Nothobranchius furzeri: one gene and its partners. The protein of the gene in region 1 interacts with the protein of each later gene in a pairwise test. Links are inferred from orthologs where the notes say so. Each region holds a gene or a part of one and is shown in the gene's direction. Other genes may lie near its edges.

Evidence for each region.
Region 2: the proteins of RNA binding protein fox-1 homolog 2 (region 1) and RNA-binding protein with multiple splicing interact in binary tests that used the Homo sapiens proteins (3 or more experiments, as listed by UniProt). The link is inferred for Nothobranchius furzeri from reciprocal best matches to the Homo sapiens genes RBFOX2 and RBPMS.
Region 3: the proteins of RNA binding protein fox-1 homolog 2 (region 1) and rnf8 interact in binary tests that used the Homo sapiens proteins (3 or more experiments, as listed by UniProt). The two-hybrid records come from large-scale screens. The link is inferred for Nothobranchius furzeri from reciprocal best matches to the Homo sapiens genes RBFOX2 and RNF8.
Region 4: the proteins of RNA binding protein fox-1 homolog 2 (region 1) and rbm42 interact in a two-hybrid assay, tested with the Homo sapiens proteins (2 studies listed by BioGRID and IntAct). The link is inferred for Nothobranchius furzeri from reciprocal best matches to the Homo sapiens genes RBFOX2 and RBM42.

Annotation. Positions count from the first base shown.
Region 1 is NC_091752.1:66,481,740-66,486,243, reverse strand, and holds part of RNA binding protein fox-1 homolog 2, read left to right. Parts: intron 1-424; coding exon 425-531; intron 532-2,705; coding exon 2,706-2,781; intron 2,782-2,864; coding exon 2,865-2,909; 3' UTR 2,910-4,504. UniProt on the Homo sapiens protein: RNA-binding protein that regulates alternative splicing events by binding to 5'-UGCAUGU-3' elements. Prevents binding of U2AF2 to the 3'-splice site.
Region 2 is NC_091742.1:66,797,732-66,803,795, forward strand, and holds the start of RNA-binding protein with multiple splicing, read left to right. Parts: upstream 1-2,599; 5' UTR 2,600-3,056; coding exon 3,057-3,119; intron 3,120-3,130; exon of another isoform or gene 3,131-4,657; intron 4,658-6,064.
Region 3 is NC_091742.1:8,357,938-8,364,008, forward strand, and holds the start of rnf8 (E3 ubiquitin-protein ligase rnf8), read left to right. Parts: upstream 1-1,972; 5' UTR 1,973-2,103; coding exon 2,104-2,226; intron 2,227-2,392; coding exon 2,393-2,521; intron 2,522-2,664; coding exon 2,665-3,107; intron 3,108-3,315; coding exon 3,316-3,523; intron 3,524-3,953; coding exon 3,954-4,016; intron 4,017-4,151; coding exon 4,152-4,241; intron 4,242-4,316; coding exon 4,317-4,424; intron 4,425-4,510; coding exon 4,511-4,715; coding exon of another isoform or gene 4,716-4,722; intron 4,723-6,071. Other genes in the region: aida (axin interactor, dorsalization-associated protein), read right to left, coding at 463-516, 598-664, 1,287-1,393. UniProt on the Homo sapiens protein: E3 ubiquitin-protein ligase that plays a key role in DNA damage signaling via 2 distinct roles: by mediating the 'Lys-63'-linked ubiquitination of histones H2A and H2AX and promoting the recruitment of DNA repair proteins at double-strand breaks (DSBs) sites, and by catalyzing 'Lys-48'-linked ubiquitination to remove target proteins from DNA damage sites.
Region 4 is NC_091745.1:58,662,722-58,667,581, forward strand, and holds the end of rbm42 (RNA-binding protein 42), read left to right. Parts: intron 1-475; coding exon 476-611; intron 612-733; coding exon 734-800; intron 801-1,011; coding exon 1,012-1,083; intron 1,084-1,608; coding exon 1,609-1,763; intron 1,764-1,792; exon of another isoform or gene 1,793-1,839; coding exon 1,840-2,007; intron 2,008-2,124; coding exon 2,125-2,259; intron 2,260-2,819; exon of another isoform or gene 2,820-2,871; coding exon 2,872-2,989; exon of another isoform or gene 2,990-3,026; intron 3,027-3,366; coding exon 3,367-3,464; intron 3,465-3,586; exon of another isoform or gene 3,587-3,681; intron 3,682-3,804; coding exon 3,805-3,901; intron 3,902-3,979; coding exon 3,980-4,092; 3' UTR 4,093-4,332; downstream 4,333-4,860. UniProt on the Homo sapiens protein: Binds (via the RRM domain) to the 3'-untranslated region (UTR) of CDKN1A mRNA.

The DNA of each region.
Region 1 (4,504 bases):
AATGTGTCGAACATCCTGTGGAGTCAGGCTGTCGGCGGTTTCCCTCCACAATTCCAGTTTTCTGTCTCATCAACATGTCCTCAGCTGCGTGAGCGTTTCATCTTCCCCTGTTTTTACCTCCCTCTCTCCCTAGTACTCACACAGTTTCCCTTCTCTCTCTCTCTCTCTCTCTCTCTCTCTCTCTCTCTCGCCCTCTCTCTCTCTCTCTCATGTACAAAATGTCTAGCCCCACATCCAACGCCACATTTCCACATTCAGCACATCCTATCTATTGTAAATGTGGGGAAACGTTTGTGTTTGTAGTCCTAAATAATCTAGTTGTGTGCTTATTTTAAGAATGATTACATTTCTTCCTCGGAGTCATGCCAGTTAGCGCGTGTGTGTGTGTGTGTGTGTGTGTGTGCACGTGTGTGTGTGTTTCCAGGGAGGCTACCCTGCTGCTGCTGCCGCCGCCGCCGCTGCCGCCTACCGCTACGCTCAGCCTGCAGCGGTAACCGGAGCAACCGCCGCAGCAGCCGCCTACAGTGACAGGTGAGGCCAGCGCAGGACACACACACACACACACACACACACACACACACACACACCACCAGAACATAACCCAGATCCTTCTGTGATAAATAAAAATAACTCACTAAACCTTGTTTAGTTACTGTGAGCATTCAGATGTTTTTTAGCCCAAGAAATCTAGACAAACTTTAGCTAAAGGCTTAGCTCTGCAGAGCGGTCTGCCATTGGCTTGGCTAAGTGTAGGCGGGGCCAATTACAGCGCTCTTTTTATAGATACATTAGACGGGCTTAGCAGCAGAGCTGCAAAAAGCTAACTTTTCCATGCACAACACCTTTAGCTACCTGCAGCTCGGGCACTGCAGGACACAACCCACTGTAATGTAGTTTGTTAGCAGCTTCTGTTCATTAGCGTATCTTCTGCAGTCGGCTGGCTCCGCGTTTTTGTCTGAGTTCGCGTCACCAAGCTGGCGACATTTGAGCTCTCCAGAGGAGACACGTAAGCGCAGCGTTAGCGCTGCGTTACAGCTGCATCAGAGCTGCTTTAGCTCTGCGTTAGAGCTGCTTTAGCGCTGCGTTAGCGCTGCGTTAGAGCTGCTTTAGCTCTGCATTAGCGCTGCGTTAGAGCTGCTTTAGCTCTGCGTTAGAGCTGCGTTAGCGCTGCGTTAGAGCTGCTTTAGCTCTGCATTAGCGCTGCGTTAGAGCTGCTTTAGCTCTGCATTAGCGCTGCGTTAGAGCTGCTTTAGCTCTGCGTTAGAGCTGCGTTAGCGCTGCGTTAGAGCTGCTTTAGCTCTGCATTAGCGCTGCGTTAGAGCTGCTTTAGCTCTGCGTTAGAGCTGCGTAAGCGCTGCGTTAGAGCTGCTTTAGCTCTGCGTTAGAGCTGCGTAAGCGCTGCGTTAGAGCTGCTTTAGCGCTGCGTTAGAGCTGCGTTAGCGCTGCGTTAGAGCTGCTTTAGCTCTGCATTAGCGCTGCGTTAGAGCTGCTTTAGCTCTGCGTTAGAGCTGCGTTAGCGCTGCGTTAGAGCTGCTTTAGCTCTGCATTAGCGCTGCGTTAGAGCTGCTTTAGCTCTGCATTAGCGCTGCGTTAGAGCTGCTTTAGCTCTGCGTTAGAGCTGCATTAGCGCTGCGTTAGAGCTGCTTTAGCTCTGCATTAGCGCTGCGTTAGAGCTGCTTTAGCTCTGCGTTAGAGCTGCGTAAGCGCTGCGTTAGAGCTGCTTTAGCTCTGCGTTAGAGCTGCGTAAGCGCTGCGTTAGAGCTGCGTAAGCGCTGCGTTAGAGCTGCATTAGCGCTGCGTTAGAGCTACTTTAGCTCTGCGTTAGAGCTGCGTTAGCACTGCTTTAGCTCTGCGTTAGAGCTGCGTTAGAGCTGCTTTAGCTCTGCGTTAGAGCTGCTTTAGCTCTGCGTTAGAGCTGCTTTTGCTCTGCGTTAGAGCTGCTTTAGCTCTGCGTTAGAGCTGCTTTAGCTCTGCGTTAGAGCTGCGTTAGCGCTTCTTTAGCTCTGCGTTAGAGCTGCGTTACCTCTGCGTTAGCCTGCTTGCTGCGTCTTGGTGTCCGAGTCCTCGCCTGCCGTAAGTTGTGACGTTAATGTTTTGTTTGGATATTAGAGGAACTTTATAAAGTTAAAACTAAGCCACTGTTATTAAATTTGAAAATCTCTCTCAGGATTAATTAAAAATGTTATGTTTGCTGTTTTAAAAGGTTAAATCCGAATTATTATTTTTTTGTCTCCTGATCCGATCCTTTTAGAATCTTGTTATTGGGCCCGACTTCCGATCACATGATCGGATCGGAGCTTTGCTGCAGATGTTTTTGTGCAGTTTAATCTTCCTCAGACCGCCGGCAGCTACTTGTGAGGGAGTCTCGAAGCCAACAGAGCTAAAACACGTACAATTATTATTCTCACATTACTCCGTTTATGCAGGTTTGTATATTTGAAAGAGCACACACACACTCACACACAAAGACCCTACATAATTCCTGGAAGTGGGAAAACTCTGGATTGTGTCTTTAATTCTTACTGACTGGATGTTTCTGATTCTGAGAATGAGAAGCAAAGTGTTTTATACAAATGCTGGATTGAGTCTCTCCTGCTGAAGTGTGTTCAGAAGCAACATGAGTCCGACTTCATGCACTTAGACGCGTTTGAGACGGAGTCATGTGTGAAAGGTGGAAGTTTCAGCTCTTTGTTTCGCGTTTGCAGTTACGGTCGGGTGTACACCACAGATCCGTACCACGCTTTAGCTCCAGCTGCTGCCGCCTACGGAGTCGGCGCCATGGTGAGTTCCCGCAAACACAAAAGCTGTCGCATCAGGTCACAAAGTAAGAAGCTGTCTAGCGTTTGTTTCCTTGTGTTTTCCAGGCCAGTTTATACCGAGCGGGATACAGCCGCTTCGCTCCGTACTAAAACCACATCCAAGGAATTTCTCTGCTCCGAAACCCCGTCTCCAGCTCTGCGCTCGGCAGCAGCTCCCCTCCATTTTTCTGCAGACTCACGTGTTTTTGTTTTGTTTTGGGTTTTTGCCCGGCGTCCCTCCCTCTCTTTGTGGCGAGAAGCGTCCCTGCCACGTCTTCCCCTCGGCCCGTCCTCCTCCGTCTGTCGCTGACGTGGAATCGAAGGAAAGGATGTTTTTCCTTCACGCAAAAGTTGGATCCAGCTGCTTGGAACTGCAAAGGCAGGATTCTGGGATCCTTTTTAAAAACACTACGTGAGAGGGGCTGCAGTTCCTGTGTGACCCAACGCACTACAGTCCCTCCCTGTCATCCCCCGTTCCTCTAATCTGACACACACACACACACACACACACACAGTTAGCTCGTCCCTGCGGCGTTGGACTTGACGCACAGACAGCTCCCCCAGAGTACTACAGTACACTGGTACTTGTGTTTTTGAGCACTACGACGACACGGAGCTTCTACCCACTACCGTAATCGCATCTGTTTATAAATAAAGCTATAGTGAAAAATCTGCAGCTGAAGGAACGCTCCACACAGAAGATATAGGAATTATTGTTTCTTTTTCTGATGAAAATCCAACTGAAAGGACAAATGAAGCCACCGATGGACTCCATCCGCGTCCCGTCTGGTCGTTTTTAACCCAGACGTGGAGCGAAGCCGTGGGAAACCAGACGCGTCGCGCTCAGATGTGTGAAAGCCAGTTTTTGTTTTTCTGCATTACCTCAGCTTCTCTTTTCCTTTCTCTGCCTTTGAGAAGAAAAACCATCGTCACTTCTTCGTCCTGCAGCATGACTCGTGTGGAGCTCAGCGGCCTCCTCCTCCTCCACGATAATTACCGGAAACGGCTGAACGCTGTCCATTTCGTTCTCCTGGAGACGAGGAGAAGATCAGACGAACTCCAGGACAGGGAGGCACGCGTCATAAAGTGTGTGAAATGATGGTTTTCTCATCCGTCTGTAGTTTAAACCTCATTTTCATTCCAGTGAATCCCGGCTGCACCTGTCCTGTTGCGTTTTAGAGCTAGCTTGTTGTTGCTACCTGCCTTTTGTTGGTCCCAAAGATTTTGTAGAAGAAAGCACATTTTTTTTGGATGTATTACTTATTTCTGTGGTAATTCTCATTTCTCTGCCTCCACTGTTGCAGCGTTTTCGCCCTGCAGCATCCTGGGAAACATCCGGTTCGGGTTCATTTGCTGCACGCGCTTAATTTATTGATGCTTTGTTTTAAAACCTTCACACACGGACACGGTGGAGACAAAAGGAAGTCAAAGAGATGTGAGAGGACATTTTGGATGGCGTTCGTCAGCGGGGGACAAATTACAGGGGGGGGGGGCTGTGTCAAACAAGGCCCAGCGTCAGCAGCCGCCTCCTTCTGCACAATAAAGCGATGTGTGGACGCTTTGGCGGACGGGGAGTGTGTTGGTGGAGCTGAGCCATTAATCATGAGCTGACAGCGTAACAGTCCCCTGGGGGGGGGGGGTGAGGAAGGTGTGTGTGCAGTAGGTCAAACCAGTATTTCTGACGATCATTTCCTCCTTTTTTATCT
Region 2 (6,064 bases), on another chromosome or scaffold:
TGATAATTGTTTGTGTCTCCTGCTCTGTGGAGCTTAAGTTCTGCTGAATGTTGCATCTGAAGATGCTGAGGTAGCACGTCTGCATGCCTAACTGGGTGATGACTCATCTTATGATGCCATAGTTACTATTAAATCTGTCATGGAGCTCTGTTAAAGTTTAGACACACAACAGAAGAAGGTGTGATAAGGACGTATGCCACTCGAACAATACACCGATTTGTGGAAAAAACTGATTTCTATCCTTCACAAAGCCTGGTCTCAATAATTTCTTTAATGAAAAACAGTTAATTAAACAAACTGCACTTAATATAATATCAGTCCTAACTCATTCACTGCCAATGACGACTAAAGTCATCATTTGCATTTTGTTTTTACTGTTTGAGCATCGGAACGAGCTCCCACAATGAGAAAACAAACATCTCAGCCCTGAGGCCGATATTCATCCGTATATGTCACACGTCACATGATCAGGAAGCAGAACATCCATGTGTTAGGAGATCGTTTTGGGCCGTTCCTGTAAAAAAAAGTGAGGCGCGAACCGGAAAAGCGTCTGCCGATCACAACTCGACAACGGATTATGAAAGAATGGATAACGCTCGAAACACGCGGATTCTTCCTGATGAAAGAGGTGAGTCTCCTCTTTGTTTTGGTTGTTTTGGCATTGACATCATCCTAGCGCGCAACGTTCTGTGTCTCTTAAAAAAACAGTAAAAACGGCGAGAAACACTGGCAGCGAAGGCCGTTAGCGATCAGGAAACGGCTGGCAGCGAATGAGTTAAAGAGCAAGTCACCCCCTACCAGAGTCTTACTCCACTCCCACTTCTGATTTGAAAAATTCAACAGACGCTGTCGCCTGGCAGACCAGGATGGCGGAGCCGCTAACAAATGCACACACTCAGGCTCACAATGACATTGTGACATCATAATGTACCAGCTAAAGTCATAGGGTACCTTCTTAGCCAATAGCGATGGCAGTTTTAAATTCAAATGCAGTGCAGAGTTTTTACCTGAAGAGGGCACAACACTGACAGTTTTAAGCAGAATATTTAAATTTGAACTAAGATTCACTAAAGTGCCAAAGTATTGACTACACGTGTCTATAGCATGGTTGGACAATATAGTTTATCAGCAAAAAAAAAAATAAATTTGATTTGGGGATGACTTGCTCTTTAACTGTCCTTGTTTCTGTTCTTTGCTTATTTTAACATTGAAACTTTTTGAATCTGCAAATACATTTAATTTTCAGACAAGGAAAGTCTGAGTAATTACATTTTTTTCATCACTGACAGAAAAAAGGGTCCAAAACAATCTGTCCCATTGTGGAAAATTAGTTCCCCTGCTCGTTAAATCATGAATAAACTGTGATTTATACAACCCCTAGCAACACACAGAAATCACTTGAGCAGAACCTGTTTGCTACACGAAGAAGGCTAAAATCTCAAAAAGCAACACATCGCGTCCCGTTCTAAAGGAGTTCCAGAACAAAATAACCTAGAACAACATCTAAAGCACGGCATGACTCTGCAATAAGAAAGAAACTACATAAATGGCACCATGGAATAACTTCAAGGCCAGAACCCCCACTAAACAAAAAGATCACAAAGACTCGTCTCACATTTACATTTGCAAGATAAAGTATGTAAAAGTATCTCAGTCACAACAACAGATAATCTGCTTAAACTAAAACCACACAAATAAGTTCCCATGTTCTTATTGAACACATCATGTAACCATTCACCTTGCAGGTAGATAAAGGAGTCAATCAATGAGATGAGCCTGGAGGTGTTGGTTAAGGCCATCCTGACCTATAGAAAACACACACACACACCAGCTTTGAGTTTGCTTTAGATGGACTTTGTGAAAGGTGTGCAGTTGAGGAGATAGTCGAGCGTGTATTCGTCAGATGTGAGAGATATGTCCCCACACTGGTGGGGATGAGCTACAATGTAGCCACAGCTGCCCTGGGGTGCACTGACAGGGGCGAGGCTGCTGTACACAGGCATCACCAGTCCCTCCGATCACCAGCAGCAGGCAAGGTGGGTTAAGTGTCTTGCCCAAGGACACAACAGCAGCATTCTCTGGTGGGAGCTGGGATCGAACCTGCAACCCTCTGAATACTGGATAACCCACTCTACCTACTGAATTAGACTTTAACCTTTGTGTGTCATAAAAATATTGAACCATAAAAAATAATTAGTTATAACGCGAGTGAGTGAGTGAGTGAGTGAGTGAGTGAGCGAAAGGTTATTTATAGCAACCACAGAAAAATGTCACAGAGTAATTCACAAGGAAAATCACCCAAGAATCAAGACAAAAAAAAAAGAATAAAGTATAGTAAAAATATGAAAAAGATCAGTTAAACAAAAATAAAACTAAATGGTTGAATAAAAATAATTAAAAACAAACAGTAAAAGTTTAAGCAAAAGTCATTTGAAATGACCGGGTCTTTTAGGTATTTAAACGCATAAAACCACAAAATCACATTTTTTGCGTATTTAATAAACAAATGTGTTCTTACAGCGTGACAACACGAAGCAGCGCGTGAGGAAAACGTTGCAGGAATGTTTCAGGGACTAAAATAACATCTGAGCTGGTTTTCTAGATGATGGATGCAGATTTTCCGGTGGAGGGTAAACGCTGCATCCCACCCAGACCCCTCCCTCCGCGGCGCGCGCGCGGACGTTACGGACTCGGAGATGAAGAGAGGAGGAGAAGTTCGCCTCCGGCGCACGTACAAGGAGCATTAACTCCGTTTCAGGAGGGGGAACAGCAACAACAAGCGCCTCCGGTAAAGCTTTCCAGGGAATGCTGAGGAATACCCGACAGGAGAGGAACACCGCTCACAGCTGACTCCTGTTTTTACCGCTTTTGATACCAACAAAGAAGAAGAAGAACCAGAAGAAGATCAGCCGTTATTGATGCGTACTGGTAGAGTGCGGTGAGAGAAGGACAGCCGGACTCCCTCTGACTGTCTCGGGGAGCTGCTTTTGTCATCATTCGTGGGTTTTGGAGAAGAGCAGAGACCAGAGAAGAAGTGAAAGTGTCAAAGACTCAGAATGAATAACAACAAAATCGAGAAAGAGAACGAGCCGAGTGAATTCACCAACCACGAAGAGGAGGTATGTATCCTACCTGCTGCCTCCGCCGCGCTACAAGGGGCGTCAGGGGGGTTCGTGTGACTATTTTAGCCGCCGAATTCCTAAAATATCTGTTTTCAAGAGAAAAACGAGAAGAAACCAAACTTATTCAGCTTCTATCTAAGTTTCCTCCACCACAGCTCACCAGGTTTCCCGCTATCAACTTTTTGTTGTGAACATCTTTGAAGTTCCTGCACCAGTAAAGCCAGACAAAAGTCAGAGCGTTTGTGATCCGAGGTAGAGTTTTCAGCCAAGCCGCTGAAGTTCAAACATCTGCCGCTGCAACATGTTGGCAAGAGCTCTTAAGTATCCCAGGCTCACAGAGGAGAATATCTCCTTTCATAACCGGGGCTTAATTTAATCTAAACACACCAGATTGATGCTGTTTGTCTGAAAACACGTGATATAATTGTGTTTCTCTCTCTCCCCTCCTAAATGGATAAGAGAATGGCCCAGTTTCTGTAAACATTGCACAATCTGGTTCAGTGATATCTCTTGTTGTGGATGTCTGTGTTTGGGGTTTATTTGCTTTGGCCCTTTTCTGAGCTCCACATCTCCTCAGAGGAGAGATGGAGACGTAGAGGAGGTGTATCAGATATTTCTCTTTTGGAGTAATCTGATTAGTGTCGGTGCAATGTAACTGAATCGCCAAACGGACTGACTTAATACCATATTTGGTTCGTGGCCGAGGTTTCTATGGATGCACTGTGGGTCTATGCAATCAAAATTACCATTTTAGAAGTTCATAAACTAAAAGAAAACAACATCTGTGGGTGTTTTGTTTGATCTGACCAAGAGGAAGTGCTATACAAATGGAGTAAACCTCAATTCTGAAAGCAAAAATCAAAAATTTCAGTCCTATGTGACATAAATAGTACATTTGATCTCTATCTTCATCTTACAACATTTCATTGTCAAATGTTACATTAAAGTTCCAGTCCCATTAGTCACCACTCACTGGTGTAATTGCATCTCTGCATTTGACCCATCCCAGCAGCAGTGTCTGCGCTCTGGAACTATTGTATGGTTTAATCTCCCAATCCAACCGGGATGTGAACCCCGATCCCCCAGTCCCAGGGTGGACACTCATACCACTAGGCCGCTGAGAAGGTTTAAGGGTATCCTCTGCGATAAATACGCATCGTCTACACACGTCTTTAGTCAGTGTCTCTCTGCTGACAGGGACTAGTCCCACCTTAATGAGGAGGGTCTTTTAGGGAATATGAGGCAAAAAAAAACTGCAACAGCCATTCAAATTTTCTCGTTATGATTTGGTAACAGTGTCCTAACTGTGTCCCATTTTGTTGGCCAGTTTTCCCTCATTTGATATGTTGATTTCATCATCAACCATTTCAAAAGCTGTCTCTCATTTTTCTTCCTTTCTGACTCACGGAAATTCAATTTAGAAAAGTTCTGGACAGTTTTTTGAAGACCACAGTGATTCGGAATGTTTTCGGTGAGGAAATTTATCTGAAAACACAAGTTCAGCGACAACACTCGAGGAAGTCCTTGGAAATATGGTGAGAGGTTTTGGAAACTTTTAAATGCAGTTTGGTCCTCAAGAGCTGTATCACAATGAGATACTTGTGTCTTTATTCTTGAATCACAACTCTCCACACATTATTGCTTCCACTGTCACTGAGATCAACAAGCACTGAGGGTTCATTAACATACAGCTGTTGTAGATCTCCCATCAATACTGGAATTCATATCAGTGTAAAAATAGCCAAAAACCTGCAAAAAGATATAAACTGGCCCTCCTTTTTATTCAGCGTAATAAATATTTCACATTTTTGTAATCAGTCAAACTTTGGAAACAGTTTGACCTTGGATTTTATTCTGGAAGGTCTCGTTTTCATAGGTGGAATACATCAAACACTAATCAGCAAATGTCAGTTATTTAGCGATTGGTTTGTTTGCAGCCTTGTGTTGTTGGGCAGTTAAACCTCTCAGCTCGCCCGTGGCGCACGTTTGAATTTCTATCATGTCCACGAGCCGAAGGACCAGACGGGAGCCGTCTGTAGCCAGCGCACAAACAGGGGGGAGTAATGGCCAGAGGAATCTAATGTCTTAGAAATGTTTGGAACTCATCCAGGACAGTAGACACTTACATTTCCTCGGATGAATTAACATAAGGTTAGACCGCGGCACTTTGTCTTCGTGGAAACAGCATGTGGTGTTAGTGGGAGATCAGTGAGGCTTTCGGGGGAGTTTGTGCTTTTGACAGGCTCTCTTGTGGACATGCTTCAGGTAGGTTTTGCACAGACGCACACGGTGCTTGGTATAATAGCAGGACGAGTTTATGATGGGGAGTTGGACTGTCTCAGCCTTTTAAAATCTTCCCTACGCTCCATCAAATACACCAAATACCTAACCGCTGTAAGTTTAACAACACCATAGCAACTGTAAACTGTAACCTTATAAGAGCTAAAGTTTAACAGCCTTGCTGGTGTGACTCTCACATGCTCCCCCCCCCCCCCCCCCAACCCCCACTTCTACACACTCTCAAGTCAATGGATCACTGATTCGCACCAGTAAAGCACTGTTGCAAGCTTGGCTCCTCATGCCTACTTCATTGCTCAACCTCCAAAGCTCGATGATGCTTAGTGTTTATCTTTCGCGGACCGGCGCTCAACCAAACATGGGCTTGTTGCAGGGCGAGGTATGCAGGTTTCGGCCCCCGCGCTCCTAATCTAAAGAGTCGCTTTGATAAGAATTATTATCAGGTGTTCTGGATGCTTTACGTAGTGCAGCACTCAGCCGACGATGGAGCTGAGGTGAAATATGGTCGCCTGCATGGTGAATGTCAAAGATATGTTGTAGCCAGGGCCAGTTTCCAGACCTTGTTTGGATAAAGGAATTTGGAGTGGACCCTCTGTAGGTTTGGAATAAACTGATATGAATAGGGCTTAAGTAAGAAATTATAA
Region 3 (6,071 bases), on another chromosome or scaffold:
ACGTTCATGTCTTACTTTGGTAATAAATACATGAATATGATCGCCACATGCTCAGAAATTAAGTTTTGAAGGATTTTAATCACCCTTTGTGCTTTTTTTTATTTTTTTAGTTGGAAAGGGTCTTTATATTAAAATAAATATATCAAATACTGCAACATAAACGGGAAAGTGTGAAAAAACAACTAGAATTGTATCACAAAGCAATGAAGATGAAAAAAAAATCCATAAATCTACAAACCTCAAACACAAAAACTCAGACAGGAAATAAAATTACCACAAACTGCTGCAAAAGGAGAACAAAACATGATGCAAAACTGACAAACTGCCATACAAATATTGAAAATAATGACGCTAAAGCCAGAAAAGTGCACAATAACAACAAAAGTTCACAGTAACAACAAAACACATCTAAGTCTGGTTGTCCACTATCATACAAAAAGAGAAATAAGTAAGAACACAAACCTGCAAACTGGCACTTCTCATCTCCAGGCATGTTGCAATCTTTCCTAAGGTTTTCTGAATGTCCAGAAAGAAACAAGATGCTGTGATTTGAAGCAAAGCAGGCGAGTTTAGCCTGCAGACTGATGCAATTATTACCTTCTGCTCTTCTGTGAAATCTGATGAATTTGAATTTTGGACCTCTTTCTGCAGCTGCCTTGCTAATCTGGATTAACGAGAACAGTTAGATGGGTTAATCAATCAATTCCAAGACGATTTGTCACATCAGTGGGCTGTTCTGCGCCCCCTTTTGGTCAACGTGGGACACTGTCAAGTCATCTATCTGCACTAAAGAAATCTAAAACGTGTCATTAAAATGAATTATTACATAAACATGATCACATCCTGAAATAACTTGCGGAGTCTGATCTCCTCAGAGAACAAGAGAGCTTTCCTCACTGAACACACGAAACCCACCCATAACAATGAGAGGGTGTGGCTGACTGTTTCCCAACACTCTAAGGAATATTGGTTATTCTCTTCTCCTAACGCTCAGAAACAAGACATTCAGCTTTGGGTGTTTCTTTTTGTTCTTCTCCCCTCTGTGAATGAAGATGGGATGGGACTCCGCTGCCTCTGCAACAATGCCACATCACGTCATGGATGGGAAGGGTTTATTTACTGCTGTGGGGGCTGACTGACAGCTCCGAGGCTAACTTCTGCAGGTTTAAGAGCTGACAAGCTTTAAGACAGCAAAAAAATAAAAAGCTAAACAAGCCGTCCTCGCTGTTCCAGATGTTTACACTCAATCGTACAAAAATAAGACACACATGTTGAATGTAACTCACATTTGGTACTCGTCTATAGCCTCTACCAATTGTCCCCACGAGTCAAAGTCTGTGCCTTTCTTGAAACTGGCGTGCCATTTCTGAATAGTCTTGTTGACATCAGACATTTTGGCGGGGCGGATACTCGCGGCGCTCTCAGGGCAGCATAGCCGAGGTGGAGATTTATTTACGCAGCTTCGGCAGCCTGGTTATCTCCCGTCCAGACATACGCGGATAAGACCGGTGACACACGGACCAAGCCCTTTCTGCCTGTTCAACACTGGGACTTCCGGTGCAGACAGGAAGTCCCGCCCCGGGGTTAGGTGCACTCGTTTTAGGGTGCTGGGTTGCCTGACTGAGAACAAATCACAACAACAAAGTGCTCTAATTTGAATTTTCGATAAAAAAAATTCATTGCTTTAAAAAAAATTTAAACTTCATAAAGCAAAAATATATTTAATATATTAAAATATTTATCATCCAAAATACTAGCATTTACTTTTTAACGTTACTTTCATGTTTAAAAATGTCAATAAATAAAGAGTAACGTATCCCAGAAACCTATTCTATTCATACTTTTTTATTTATTTTGCCTTGTTCAAAAGATTTACAACACGTGATACGTGCCGTTATACAAGAAATAATAAATAAAACATTGATATTTATTTTAGCAGTTTCCCGTCGCTTTTATTTCGAAATGAATTGTACCGTTTTCCGGTGTCTCCCGGATCGCTACCGCGTTAGCATGTAGCAGTTATGTGACGGAAGACACACATCGACATATACATATAAGACACAACAACAGCGGAGTGTTTGGCCTGTGACAGAATGGCTTAACATGGATAGTGCAACGGCGGATTCATGTTCGGCTGAGGACGGTGAATGTTCGGACTCGGAGGTCTTGTGTCTGATGAGAGTCGGAAAAAAATCAGACTGGCTTCGTTTGTTCGAAAAGGCAGAGGTACAGTTTGCTAATGTTAGCTTAACTAAAAAAAATCATTTTCAGGATTGTGCTATGTATACATACAATAGGCATGCCATTTTATTCATTAAGTTTTTTCTAACGGCGTAGTGGACCCTGTTTATATGGAAAAACTGTAAATTGACGTTTGTTTTTGACTGCTCAGATCACTGTTGGACGTGGTTTGGATGTCACCTACCAGCTGCTGTCTTCAAGTAGTCCTCTCATGATCTCCAGACTGCACTGTGCCTTCAGACAGATAGAAGACGGTCACTGGACAGTGGTAGACAAAAAGGTAGCCTTATTTCTTGAGCTAACTCTCCTAAAATTGATCTCTAACAGATGATGGGGCTATTATTAACAGCAGCAGCTAATACCAAGTTAAATCTTAGTAAATAAGTTATTATTATTATTATTATTATTAATTATCTTCCACAGAGTCTCAATGGTGTCTGGGTGAACGGAAATCGGATTTCTGCCGATGAACCTTACCTGCTCAAACTTGGAGACTCGATCCGACTTGGAGTTCCTTTATCAGGAACCAAAGTAGAATTTGATTACATCCTCATCCGGCGACTGCTCAGAAACATTCAGCCGTACCTGGCAAAGGCATGTAGAACTTGGGCTAAAGAGCCGCAAGTCTCCAAAAAATCCAAAAGGAAGTTGACTGTGGAGGAAGTCGAGCCTTCTACATCAAAGCCTAAGCTGTACCGCTGCGATTCAGAAGGGAAATCTTTTGCAAAACCCTGTCCTCTGTCTGCGGTGAAATGCCAGCAGCGGCTCAGTAACACACACCTGGAGGAGACGGCATCCAGCACACAAAAACAAGAGCAGCACTCTGATGGATCCAGTGATCCTTGTGAAGTGGACAACCTGCAGAGGTAAAGTGTGACTCCTCGTAAAAAAGGTTCTCAATCAAACCAAAGACACTGCTCCTTTACAAGCTTTTATTTAATACATTTGCTGAATTATGTGTCACATATTCAAACAGACTCCTCTCTACTTTTAATGAAAATAATACTCTTTAGGAGTTGTCCATTCTGATGTTCTGTTGTGTAAAAGTTGTAAATATTAATGTATAACCTGCAGGTACAGCCAGAATCTCCTGCTGTTACGGGAGCAGGTGGATGACACCCAGAAGCAGGTATCATCTCTTGGAGGAGAACCCAGGCGGGCAGATCCTCTCCGACGGGAGCAGGTCCGTGAGCTGCAGGGTCAACTGGAAACCCTTAGAGCCAAAATGTGTCAAATGAAGACTTTAGAGAGAACCTTCAGTAAAACAAGGAGACAGTTGGAGGTCAGGAGTGTTGTTTTTTTTTCTTTTTGAAACATCGTTACATTTTCATTCCCCCAACCCGCAATTGCTTTATTTTACAGCGTTAGTTTAACTTTTAATTCTCCACATTTCAAAATGATTCAGCCATACTTTAAATAATCTTGGTAACGTTGCAAAAAAAAGATCTTAAACATAACAAAACCTGTTAAAGAGCTACATTTCTGCATCATATTCCATATCGATATTAATATTCCAGAGCATATTAATATTGAGCATCTTTTTTGGGGTTTCAAACAAAAGCGCCACATATGGAAAGTAACACGTTCCTCACCCTTCTTGTTCTGACATATGTGAATCAAAAGGTTCATCTGCATTTACAATTAGAAAAATATATATGTCCATAAAAATAAAGTTTCAATTTAAGTGAATCGTCTGTCTTTTATGCGTTTAGGAGCAGAAAACACAGCAGCAAGAGGAGCTAATGAAAAAACAACTTGAAGAGGCTCTTCAGGAAGTAAGAAGGTTCAATTAAACTAATTAAAAGCTGTTAACACATTTAATTTAAACTAACAGTTTTTTAGTTTATTTCTTTAAGTTTTTGATTAAATGTAATAAAAAGTTTTTTTGTGCCTGTTTTTTCAACAAACAGCAAAAGAAAGTGATCGACGAGCTTGCCGACTCTCGAAAAACATTTGAAGAAATCCTCTCTGCGAAAAACAAAGAACTAGAAGAAACAAAGGTGCCTGAAAGACACTTTTTAAAACACACATTTTTACCTTGGTTGTCACTTTGATTCATATTTTTTTTCCTCCAGGAGGAAAAAGAAAAGGCGAAAGCCCAAAAGGAGGAGGTAGTAACACAAGTCACAGAGGTTCTGGAGAACGAGCTCCAGTGCATCATCTGCTCAGAGCTCTTCATCGAGGTAGAGCCAGGAACCTGTTTGGGATCATCTTACTCACAAAAACCCGACTTCACCTGCTGAAATTAAAAAAAAATGTCCCTGTACAGGCGGTCATCCTGAACTGTGCTCACAGCTTCTGCTGTTACTGCATCAAGTTGTGGCGCAAGAAGAAAAACGAGTGTCCCATCTGTAGACAGGCTATCGAGTCCCAGACCCGGTGTCTGGCCCTGGACAACTGCATCAACCGTATGGTGGAGAACCTGAGCCTGGACATGAAGGCCCGGCGGCAGACGCTCATCACTGAAAGGAAAGGTGAGAGGTGTGTTCTCATCATCCACGCCAAACTCATAGAAATGAATCATCCATCTTTGATCTTCACTCATTTATTCTGTTGGAACGTTTCTTTAACCCTTACAGACATTGTTTATATATATATATATATATATATATATATATATATATATATATATATATATATCTTATTTCTGATTATAATCCGTCACTCTCGAGTTTTTCATGCAGGGTGCTTCTCAATGTCAAGGCGCCTTGCTAGGCCAGCAACAAGTCTGTTGTTGGTTTAGCTTCCAGGAAACAGCAGAGAACATGTTAGCTAGTAGAAGCTAACCATTAGCATTAGCTACATCACCACATGGCAGAACTCCTTCGGGCTTCAGAATCAGAAGGGTTTTATTGCCGTATGTGCGAGAAATCAAAACATTAGGAAATTGCTGCGGTACTTGGTGCAAAAAGAACAATAAAAATAAGAGATAAGTAAATATAGGAGGTAAGAATATAATCTTGATAAAATAATAATATAAACTGGCAATAATTAGAGAAACGGCTACTATATACAAGACAGTGTAGGTACTGATCAGAGCGGATCAGTTCAGGTACAAACAACACAGGGTCATGTGACTGAAACCAAGCGACTGGAGTGGGCAGCCCTAGGATTGTCGTTCTTGAGACCAACTGCAGAAGGGAAGAAACTGTTCTTGTGTCGAGAGGTTCTGGTCCTCCTGCCAGATGGGAGCGAGTCGGGTCAGCTGTTACCGACCTGCATGCCTCAACATCCTGGAGGTGTTCAGGTCCTGTATGGAGGAGAGTTTGCAGCCAATGACCTTCTCAGCAGAACGCACAACACGCTGCAGCTCCTTCTTGTCCCTGGTGGTAGCTCCAGCATACCACACGGTGATTGAAGAGGTGAGGATGGACTCGATGACTGCGGTGTAGAACTGCCTCATCAACTGTACTGGTAGGTTGAATTTCTTCAGCTGCCTCAGGAAGTACATCCTCTGTTGTTATGGGCTTTAGTTGTGACAGAGGTGATGGTGGGCTCCCATTTGAGGTCTTGGGTTAAAGGCCCGTGTTATTTGTGAAGATAAAGTATCAACGTTGCAAAGCAAATGGAGTCAGTGGTAGATTTACATTGATTGTATCCAATCAGAGGTGAGATGCCCAAATATCAGAATCAGATGGGTTTTATTGCCATATGTGCAAAAAGTCACAATAGGAAACTGCTACGGTACTTGGTGCAAAAAGAAAGATATATAAAATAGGATTTAAAGTAAAATGTCAGAAAGTATGACTCCAAAACCTGCAGTCCGCAGCTCTGCTGTGATGTGGCTCACTTCTAGTTCCTGGAAATGGTGCACCGGTGTTTATTGTCAC
Region 4 (4,860 bases), on another chromosome or scaffold:
TTGACAACCCAAAAAGCCCCCCACCCCAGTTGACCCTAATAAAATGGGTTCGGAAGCTAAAGAGCCATTTTGGAAGCTCCAAAGCTACTCGTGGCAATCAGTGGATCCTGGGAAAAGCAGAATCAGCTGAAAGAGCAGAACAAAGCTAACTCAGGTGTTTGCTAACCATTAAAATTAAGTCCCGTCTGCCTCGGGGGCGGGCATCTAACCTGAGAACCCACCCAATTGGCCAAATGGGTGAAGAGCTCAAGTTGACTTGTTAAAAAAACATCATGCTTCTGTTTGATTGACAGAATGCATTATGTGTAGCAAACTTTTGAGTTGACCATTCATTGTGATATTTATCTGTTCTTTGCGATATGCATATTGCGCATGCTGATATCACGATAACGATAAATTTGCGATACATTGTGCAGCCCTACCCACTACTGTGATAGAAAAAAATGTTCTCTTTCAAATGTAATTTCCTCTGTAGTTTTGAGCAGGAGGTTCTTGGTGGTCCAGTGCCGATATCCGGAAGTCCGCCTGTCATGGACCCAGGAGCCGTAGCTCTGGCTGTCCCAGTCATTTCTCTGGTGCGACCGATTATTGGGACAAACACCTACAGACAGGTTTGTGTTGTGAATCAATCCTTTTTCTCTACCGGTGATTAATAAACTTACAGAGAAAAAATGGTCAATTTATTGATTGAGAAAAAGCTCAGAATGCTTTTGACCCCGTTCTACCTTCTCAGGTCCAGCAGACTCTAGAGGCTAGAGCGACTAGCTTTGTTGGCCCCCCACCAACGTTTGTGGGACCAGGTAATAAAATCCATGCTGTAAGATTGCCTTCTCTAAATGCTAAAGAAAAATATTGCATCACGGTTTGTCAGTGTTTTAAATGCATCGTAACTGGATAGAGTTATTTTTGATGCTCTTTAAAACGTGAGTCAAACATGCTTCTGTTTTACAATAACAAGCTAAAGTTGTTCGTGATGGCGTTCTGATGTGATGTTCTCTTTCTGCTCACCAGTTCCCTCCATTCGTTCACCTCCACCTCCCATCATGAGACCAGCCTTTGTTCCACACATCCTGCAGAGACCCAGTAAATCCATTTTCTCTTTACTCACCTAAATATCTTCAACATGAAGATAATGACCAGTGGAGCGACAGATGTTCCCACTGGGTCATTAGTCATGATGGTAGGAGGAAGCAGCCTCTGACACGACCGTGTTTTAAACATCAGACAGAAATTTGAATTGCTGGAGTCTTTTCTCTGGGCTAATCACAGATCAGGATAACAGGTGTTTGGTTTTTGATCAGCTGTGGGGACAACTGAGCTACAAAGAACGACCGACTTTTGGACTGGCTGGTCTTTGGTTAAGCTGAATTACGTAAAATAATCTGATGATGGACAACAGAGCTACCAGATTTAAATCTAACATAAAAACAGCTTATTTTATGCTGTGATGTTCATGTTTTCAGTTGTTTGGTCTTCAGGGTTGAATGTTAAGAGATAAAATGTGACATTTAGCAGAAGTTCCTGTGGAACTCTGAAACATCTGGACTCCTGGTGGTTTGTTCCTCCTCCTGTTGAGATGGGGTGTTTATGGTAGCTCTGTGTTGATAGGTGGTCAGAGGATACCGATGATGCGCAGTCCTCCAGTAGCACCTCCCCTACCACGGCCTCCTCCCCCTCCCCCCATGATGGTTCCTCCTTCCCTGCCAGGCCCGATACCTCACGGTCCCCCACAGCCCATTCAGCACATTGCAGCCTCTCCTCAGGTAAAGAGACGATATCCATCAGCACTTGGTTGCGGAGTATGCATCATTTATTTAGTTGTTCTGGTGTTGTTCTCAGGTTGGTGACATTGTCCCGATGATGCCAGGCCCTCCAAGATCGGTGGGCCCGCCCTCCCTCAAACCAACGCCATCCATCATCCAGGCAGCACCAACGGTGTACTCTGCTCCACCTGTGACGGTTGGACATAAGAGAGTTGATCCTCAGGCCCAGAGACAAGCCAGAATGGTGTCTGCACTCTGATCAACATCTAAACATGTTTATCTGAAGTATTGCATCTAAAATAACTAAACACTGCCACATGGGAAGTGACTGTGAGTGTGTGTGTGTGTGTGTGTCCATCAGGAAGAACTGGCAGCACGGGTTGCTAAGCAGCAGGCTGCAGTATTGGCGGCAGGCCTACTTGACAAGAAGGAGAGTGATGAGAGCAACTCTGTGATTGGTCCAAACAGGCCTGAGCCGGAGCCCCCTCACATTGAGGTGATTATAACATATTGTTATCTGAATTGTGTGATGAAAACATCTATCAGTGGTGACGAGATGTATTATTCACTAAAACAAAACTCTTGAGTCTGTTTCCGCCTTCAGATTCAGGCCCAGCGCGAGCGCATGCTCCTCACAGCAGACAGAGACAGAGAAACAGCTTTAGTCAGAGTCTATGTTCACTCCTCAGAATCGGGAGTGATAATGAATTGAAGCCCCCGCTGGCAGATTCTACCCGCCAATCAGCTCCCCCAATGGTAGCCGTGAATTTGAGCCGGCCAATCAGTCGGCAGTGGGTGTGTTGGACCAGTTCAGCCTGAAGCAGACCGCCTTGGGAATTGGGCCGAAGTAAACAACCGGTTGAGCACGTAAAAAAAAAAATCCAGGCTACCCAGATGTCAACACTTTATACCACACCTGGGTGGAGTAGAGCCAGCCCTTTAGTTAGCTCCAGTGGCAATGGTCATTACATTACATCTCTAGTGATTATTTCTAATGTGAAAATTTCACAACAGGCCATCAGAACTGTAAAAATGTGAGAATATGAATTCACAAAGTTTGTGTGTGTGTTTTTATTTTTATTTTTTTTTTATTGTTTATCTGTTCCAGCCTGTGGAAAGTTCTACAGAGGACAAGAAGAAAGGCAAGAACGAAAAGGTGAAGAAGTGCATCCGTACAGCAGCAGGGTCCAGCTGGGAGGATGCCAGTCTGCTGGAGTGGGAGTCAGGTAATCCCTGCTGGCAGGAACTGAACTCTATGGAAAGCTGGAGTCAATAGAATGAGAATGATTAAAGAGCAAGTCACCCCCTACTCCACCCACGCTTCCTGTTTGAAAAATGCACCTAAAGTAGGAATCGCCTGGCAAACCAAGAGTGGTGCTGAGGCAGTGACTGACAGCGTCACCCTCAACCCCCTCACCTCAGAGAAATGGGCCGATAACAAGCGCGCACACACACACACACACGACCCCTTGGTATACGTTTTTTGAGTAGGAGCTCCAGGGTGTCTGACCCAAATGAACGGTTCTGTAAAAGCTGGTGTTATTTCTCCTGTTTTTAAAGCTGTCTGAGAACTTTGGTGATTCATGTGTTTGAACTGTTTCAGATGATTTTCGTATATTTTGTGGGGATCTTGGTAATGAGGTCAACGATGACATTCTAGCCAGAACCTTCAGCAGATACCCGTCTTTCCTCAAAGCAAAGGTAAGCCTGGCTCTGTAGGTTTCGGGGTTGGTTAGTGTTTCTCACAGGACTGGTCGGTTTGGATAATCATTGTTTAATAAATCTATACGAAGTGAACGAGTAGAGCACATAAAAGTTCAGACCTTAAAAGAGCAGAGAACGTAAACAGGAATGGATCCATCAAAGAAGCTTCAGTAGGATGGGTGTGCAGCTCTCCTTTCCAGTTACAGAAAGTGACCTGAAAATTAGAATTGGAGAGCTTTATTGCAACAAAGGCAAGTTAGAAAAGAGATAAAGGGTTTAATCCTGTTTGTGGGTAAACAAATGTGATTCCATGGATTCATGAAATGATCATTTCTAGGTGGTTCGAGACAAACGGACCGGAAAGACCAAAGGCTACGGCTTTGTCAGTTTCAAAGATCCAAACGACTACGTCAGAGCCATGAGAGAGATGAACGGTGAGTCAGGTGACACCACACTAATCCCAGGAGTCCTGGGGACGTGTTCAATCTGAGTGGGTTTTTGTTTTTCTCCAGGGAAGTATGTTGGGAGTCGCCCCATCAAGCTGAGGAAGAGCATGTGGAAGGACCGAAATATTGAAGTGGTTCGCAAGAAACAGAAAGAGAAGAAGAAACTCGGCCTCAGATAATGTTCCGTGTGTGTGTGTGTGTGTGTGTGTGTGTGTGTGTGTGCGTGTTAGGGATTACTGGCCTTTTGGCAGTCCCATCAGACATGATGCTTGAGGCGTAAGTGTGATCAGAGGTTAGTTTAGGTTTCGTGTGTCATGTTGAGTTAGTTGGGACTTCCTTGTGGGTCAGAAGATTTTGAGAAAGCTAGAAACTGTTTTGACTTATTTTACATCCTGTAATAAACTAAAGGGTTAATGACACCCCTGCCTTTGTTCTTACTTCCACCATCTGCTCTCACTCACTTCTAGATTAGCTCATTGCAAAATGCTTTTACGGATAAATAAATTGGTATGTATTCAAAGCAAAAATCTGGAGTTTGTTGTCAAATCTAGAGGCAGAAAAATATATTGCAGCATAAAGCCCTCTCTCCACTTCCATGATCACAGCTGGAAGCAATGCCTCTGGTTTGTGAACGAGAACCTGTAACAGAGTTAAAACAAATTCTGTTACTATGAATAATCCACATTATGCTGTTTACTCGTGTTTTTAAAAATGTGTCCATGAGAAATTTTGCCATCTTTGCATCTGTCTAGATACTTCTGCACATGCACCCTCTGTGACAGACATCTTTATGACGCTAATGCTGAGCAGCGCTCTACTGGAGTTGCATGGGGCTCTACGGGACAAGAGGCTAAAGCTACATATCACATTCAGTTCTGAGATCATTTTAGTTTTCTTTTAAGACGAAGTTCAAATAAACATGAGGCAAATGTATTAGTTTTAATGAG